Linked DNA regions of Ovis aries. The protein of the gene in region 2 purifies or fractionates together with the protein of the main gene of each other region. This does not show direct contact. Links are inferred from orthologs where the notes say so. Each region holds a gene or a part of one and is shown on either strand. Other genes may lie near its edges.

What was found. The genes of interacting proteins can lie anywhere in the genome.
Region 1: the proteins of SYTL4 (region 2) and RAB3A purify together in Homo sapiens (affinity purification with mass spectrometry; 3 studies listed by BioGRID and IntAct, counting the BioPlex papers as one, with this or other methods). This does not show direct contact. The link is inferred for Ovis aries from reciprocal best matches to the Homo sapiens genes SYTL4 and RAB3A.

What each region holds. Positions count from the first base shown.
Region 1 is NC_056058.1:4,780,634-4,784,924, forward strand, and holds the start of RAB3A (ras-related protein Rab-3A), read left to right. Parts: upstream 1-1,353; 5' UTR 1,354-1,489; intron 1,490-2,608; coding exon 2,609-2,836; intron 2,837-3,980; coding exon 3,981-4,099; intron 4,100-4,291. UniProt on the Homo sapiens protein: The small GTPases Rab are key regulators of intracellular membrane trafficking, from the formation of transport vesicles to their fusion with membranes.
Region 2 is NC_056080.1:132,458,777-132,461,135, forward strand, and holds part of SYTL4 (synaptotagmin-like protein 4), read right to left. Parts: intron 1,034-2,359; coding exon 885-1,033; 3' UTR 1-884. UniProt on the Homo sapiens protein: Modulates exocytosis of dense-core granules and secretion of hormones in the pancreas and the pituitary. Interacts with vesicles containing negatively charged phospholipids in a Ca(2+)-independent manner.

The DNA of each region.
Region 1 (4,291 bases), on a different chromosome or scaffold from region 2:
TCGTTCTTCCGCGCCAGCCCCCATTCTGACTTTTTCACATCAAGATCGTTGGGGGATGACGGGTCATCTTGGACCCCAGAGCCTCCATCTCTGAGTCTAGTTTTGCCAGGATGGTGGAGGGAGGACTCTCCATCCCTGTCTTTTAGCTCAGGAGTCCAGCAGGAGCACAGCATCTCCTTCCCCACCCCACTCCTTTATTGCAGGGTCTTTAAACCTCACTGTTTCCTACTTTTGGGGGGTTGTTGTTGTTGTTTGTTTTTTGTTGTTGTTTGTTTTAACCGCAGACTTTGCGAGATTAGGGGACAGGCTGTTTTCCTGCCCTACTTCCGCCATTTGAATTTTTCTCTGGAAATGGGGCGCAGGAAGGAGAGGGGTTCCCGGAGCGTCCGTCAGCCCCTTCTTTTCCGGCAATTGGTGGCGGAGGGTGGCTCTCTTGATCCCGATTTCTCCTTTCTTCATCTCAGAAACAGGGTGGAGCATCTACTAGCCCCACCCCCTTCAGGGGTCTTGAGTGTGTTAGTCGCTCAATGGTGTCCAGTTCTTTGCGACCCCATGAACTGTTATACAGCCCACCAGGCTCCTCTGTCCATGGAATTATCCAGGCAAGAATATGGAATGGGTAGCCATTCTCTTCGCCAGAGGATCTTCCCAACCCAGGGATCGAACCCAGGACTTCCGCATTGCAGTCAGATTCTTTACCGTCTGAGCCACCAGGGTACATATCAGCAATGAGACAGGGTCTATCTTGATCCCTATTTCAGCTATTTCTTCTTTTATACTTACTTTGAACCCTGTAAATAAGAGATATAGAGCACTTTCTCGAACCTCGCTTCCTCTTTTCTGAAATTGGGAATAGGGGGAGTTTAATGAGCGGTCACAGCACCTTGGACTGAACGGCTACCTCCCGAGTCTAAGACCTGGGGTGCGTGGGGGCGGGGAAGGGGAACGCCCCCAGAAGACTCAGGCTCAGTTGAGGCCTCAACCTCTGGGCCCTTCAATCGCCCGGAAACCACCATTGGACAGGAGGAGGGGTTGGCAATCTTTGACTGGTTACTTACCCTGTCGCTCGAGCACTTAAGCCAGTGAGAAGGCGCTGCGAAGCCCCGCTTCCCTTATACTGTAGAGAGGCGGAGCCAGCAAGCGATTCCTCCCCTCCTGCACCGCTTCTGCTAGCTACTGGATGCGCTCTCTGGGCCCCGCCCCGTTCTCGCCTCAATCTGTGCAAGAGCCCCGCCCCTCCCGGCTCTGCCTGCGACAGTAGACCGTATCTCCATCAGTGGCTCCGCCCTAGAATGGCATCACGGCCGTATCTGCATGTGAGGCCCCGCCCCGCCCTTTGCAGGACGTCACCGAGGACTGCAGGGGCCTCAGCCGCTGCCGCCGCCTCCGCTGCAGCGCAGCCCCACATCAGCACACCGGGGGCCCCGTCACCGCCACTGCCAAAAAAGTCGCCGCCGCTAGGGTCGCCACAGCATCAGTGCAGAACAAGGTGAGCTCCCAGGCCTCCAGGTGCGCTTCCGCGCCGAGCACCTATATAACCTTGATTTGACTGGTGGTCTGCTTGGGATAGGGGACGAAGTTGGCCAGCCTTAAATGAGGCAGAAGGATGCTGCGGTCGCGAGTCTGGGGAGGGGGAGGGCCTCGGCTCCCTCTACCTGCCCTGTCCTCACCCCCACCCCCATCCCTCCATCCCCGGCTCTGCGGTGGAGGGGGAGGGGAGATGAGGCGAGTGCCTTGCGGGAAGCTGTGCGCGCGGGAGGCTCTGCGTGCGCGTGCGCGTGGAGTGCACACTCGTGTGCGCGCCCGCCTGTGCAAGAGGGTCTGTGTGTACCCTTGCTTGTTTATCAGGGTATGCTCCTGCATACCTTGGGGATCCCGACCCAAGACTGTGAGTGTTACAGGCATGTGGAGGCAGACGCGTGGACTGCTCGTGTGCGCGCACAAGTGTGCCTATGTGCACAGAGATGTGTGCCCGTGTAGGTGACGTGTACTGGGCTGCATGGGTGGAGGACGCATTGCGCACGGTGGGTTTTCACATTTGTATATACATGTTGGCGTGCAGACAGGTGTCTGGCTCTTTCTCGTGCATCGAGCTTGTCCCAGTATGTGCCCTGCTGTGTGCACGTGAGCGTGTGCACGCCGCGTGCCTGTCACGTGATATAGCTGTCACAGCTCGAGCTCTCCCAGCCTGGGAGTCTGGGAGAAGGACGGCAGACACGCGTCCCCGCGGTACCGTACACGCGTGTGCACGTGCGCCCGCGAGGCTCAGTTCTGAGGAACATGAATGATTGATGGGGGGCGGGGCCGGCCGCAGTTGGTCACCTCTTCTGGCGCAGCTGTAGGGCTTAGGTTACAACCAGGTCCGGGGTGCAGGCCTGCTGGAGGGGGCTGCAAGGTGTCTCCATCCCCTTCGCTCTGAGGTCCTCCCCTGGAACCTCAGGCCTTTCAAGGTCACGGCCCGCCCTCTGCGGTGGGGCGCGCCGTTAGCACTGGGGCTCCTGATGGGATAAGAGTAATCTCTGTCTCTCGCTGGGAGCTCTCTAGCCTGAGCCTGGGCGTTTGGGGACGGAGGGGATCCCTCACCTTCGCCTACGCCCCACACCTGCAGATGGCATCCGCCACAGACGCTCGCTATGGGCAGAAGGAATCTTCGGACCAGAACTTCGACTACATGTTCAAAATCCTCATCATCGGAAACAGCAGCGTGGGCAAGACATCTTTCCTCTTCCGCTATGCAGACGACTCCTTCACGCCTGCCTTTGTCAGCACTGTAGGCATCGACTTCAAGGTCAAGACCATCTACCGAAACGATAAGAGGATCAAGCTGCAGATCTGGGTGGGTCCAGCTGGGGGGCCTTCTGGCTCCATCACTCTCCCCCCACCAGGAACAGCAGCCCCAGCTCTGCCTATTTCTTTCCTGTCTAGATTCACTCATTACATACTGGGCATTTATGAGGTGCTTACTGTGTACCAGGGGCTAGAGGCACAGAAGAGAGTGTCCGGTTTCTCCCATCAGTGCTCTCCAGGGGTGGGGAAGGGGTAAATGCTGGGTCCTGTCCTACCCCTGACATCATCAGATGCATCGCTTGCTGAGTGCCTCAGTTTCCCCATATTCAAGTTCCTCCATGAGTGTCTGGATGAGGTTTCAGAGGGATCCTGACCCCCCAGCCTCATTCCCTGGGCCAAGAGCAGGCTCCTCCACCAGGGTCTTCAGGCCACCTCCCTCAACACCTCTGGGTCCTAAAGGGATCTGATAAATCCCAAGCCAGAGCTGGTTGTTCCCTGCTCTCAGTCCTTCCATGGCCCCCACCTCACTCTTGGTAACACCTGCAACCTTCCCTTGGCTGAGGAGACCCTGCCTGGTCATCCCCTGTTGATACCTCATCTCATCTGTCTCCCTCCATCTCCTCAGCCTCTTCATTGTTCCTCAAATGTACCAGACCCAGTTCCACTTTAGGGCATTTGCCTAGACTTTCCTTCTCCCGACCCCTGTATGACTCCCTCCCTCATCCTTCAAGTTTTTAAATTGTCCCCCAACCCACACTGCCCATCCTTGCCTGGTTTTTTTTTCTTCTCCTGTCTCATTACTTTCTGACAATACATTTCTGTGAGCTGAGGATGCATTTTCTTTCTTGTCATGGGTTGATTCTCTGTTTCCTGCACAGAGCTGTCAATTCCAAAAGGGCAGTGATTTTGGCCCATTTTGTTAATGACTGTGTCCTCAGGGCTCAGCACAGGGTGTGGCACAGGTCCCTGTGTGTCAAATGAATGAAGGAATGATGCTGTAGGTACCTTGGGATCACTGGTACTACATTCCCTGGGATAGGCAGCCGACTCACTCTTCCTGACCCACTGTGCCTCTGGGCAAGCCCCTGCTCCTCTAAGCCTCAAGGGGGCTGGCCTCCACCATCTCAGAGTTCATTCCCATGCTGAGGAACTTCCATGTATCTCCTCTCTGACACCCCACCTCTTCTTCCCAGGACACAGCGGGGCAAGAGCGGTACCGGACCATCACGACAGCCTACTACCGGGGCGCCATGGGCTTCATCCTCATGTACGACATCACCAACGAGGAGTCCTTCAACGCTGTGCAGGACTGGTATGTGAGCCCCCACCTGCCCTCTTCTGAGCCAGGCTTCGTGTAAAGCCTGGGGTTCAGGCCGAGACCAGAGAGTCCCAGCCCCTTGGCAGAAATGTAAATAACGATATCGGGGTCCCAGCTATGCTATCAATCTATAAACATTAAAACAATGTGGCATCAGCTCAAAAGAATGGGAAAGAAAGATTTTAG
Region 2 (2,359 bases):
CGGACACAAACAATACAAAAGATGTGGTATGTGAGAGCGAAAATGCCTTTTATTCCATTAGGAGCTTTCTAACAACTGCTATATCAGTTTAAAATGCAAAGAATCAGCACGGGCTGAGAGATCCTCCATTGCTGGTCCTCTGGAACCACTGAAAAGCCTGTACTGGGCATGCCTGTGACCTAGTCCAAAGGCCATTATCTAACTAAAGTGCTCTTCTAAAGCAACTCTATCATAAGGGTCCTGCAGAGGTCTAGGGAAGGTGTTCAGAACTGGAAGCAACTTAGACTTCTTAGCATTTCCAGGAAAACTGTTAGACTCAAGCAAGGCGGAAACTGCTCCAAACAAGAGTTAAAAACTAAGTTTCAGAAATGTGTCAAGGTGGAAATGGAGTGAAAAGCATAAAATGGAGGAGAGAGAAGGGACCCAGTCACCTCTCTCCAATCTTCTTCTGTCTTTAGTAAACCACCCCTGCTTCCCAGAGCCCTGGCGTCAGACCAGGCATACCCTGAAACACAGACCAGTACAAGTGCCAAAGGCAGCCAGGGCTTCCTATGGAAGGAGGAACCAGGATAACAAGACAGGTGATTAACAAGTTATTTTAAAAGATAAATGAAATCTCATAAAGATATAAGAATCCAGGATTCTGAAAATATATAGTAGTTAATGCACAAATAAAAATATTTTGAAGAGACCCTTATTCTTGAGCCTGCTTTAAAAAGGGGAAGTCTACATCACTCTAGCATAATGAGGGCTGTAGAAATACACATTTACATACACACACATACATCACACACACACACACAAATTATAAATCTTCACCCTTGGTTTCTTCACTTCCTCTGACTTGCCCTGGACAGGGATGGACCTGCAGAGCAGGACAGGGCTCACAAGCCCAGCTTCTGCTTGGCCATTGAGGAACGGAGTTGCAGAGTCCCTTCGGCCCAAGACCCTGGGTACTGTCGCATCTTCTGCCACAGGCTCACTTCTTCCCCAGTTGAGTCCATCCAGTCCACCACTTCCCCGTTACTGATCCCTGAGGAAAAACACCAGAGGAGGCTGAACAGAGATCCTACTCCTCAGCCTGCCGAGGAAGATGCGCTATGCATTAAGGGCAGCATCCCATAAAAGACAGTGCGCTATGAAGATGGGCTAATGGGGACAGTGTTCTGGGAACAGCTCCCTGTTGACTCTGCACTGCCATATTTCTCTGCTCCTGAGATTCCATCAAGAGACTTAAAGTTGATAAAATAGGGCTCCAAATGGCACACGGTAGCTCGAGACCTCTTATTCTAAGGCTATTACAGCTAGGGCCATTCTGTTACTGCCAAGTTGACTTATGATGGAAAGGGAGAGGAGGGGAATGTAGGGAAGGGAGGAAGAAAGGAAGAAAGAGGGAGAGAGGAAGAAAGCAGGGAGGAAAGGAGACACAGAGGGTAAGAGGGACGAAGGAAGAAAGAGAGCTGAACACTTTTATTTTCTAGCTGCAGACTCCAGGCTTGAAGTTTCGATCATGCAGGGCCTCATTTCTATTCTCTTGTACATTCATTCATTCAGGAACATTTATCAAGTGGCTGCTGTGTACTAAGTACTCTTCCAGGCTCTGGAGGTACAGTGTGAACAACACAGAAAAAGTTCTGCCTGCAGGCAGCTTATGTTTGAATAGAGAAGATAGAAAATACAGAAGTAAACCAACAAGAGTGAGATAATCAACATAAAGTAAATAAACAGAGTGATTTGTAGTGCCTAGGTCAGCATCTCCCTTAGATGAAGTGGTCTTTGGGCCCCTCTGAGGAGATATTTGAGTCAGGAGCTGAAGGATAGAAAGGAAGCAGCCCTTCCAGACAGAGAGAACACTAATAGCAGAGGTTATAAAGTGGGGAGAAACTTGGTATATTTGGAGGACACAAAGCTAGTCAGCATGTTTAGAGCACAGTGAGCAAGCAGTATTACAGGACAGATAAGAAATGAACAGAGGGTCCAGATCACAGAGGGGCCTCTTGGCATGGTGAGAACTTTGGGTTGTTTCCTAAGTACAGTAGGAGCTCCTGAAGGGTTTTAAGCATGGGACTGACATGAACTGGCTTACATTTGTAAGAACATCACTCTAGATGCTTTGTGTTAAATACTTTGTATGAATTAACAATATACAAGTAATATTCAGTCACAGGAATGCAGACTGTAGCGACAGAAAAGAGTATTCAAGACTAAGCCTTGAGAACCACCAATATTGAAAGTTTGGCTAGAGGATGAGGATGCCCCACAGAAAAGTGTGGTGTCAACAGAAGCTAAGTTATTTCAAGAAAAAGGGAGTGATCAGCTATGTTAAATAGCGTGAAAATTCTAAAATGATGAAAACAAA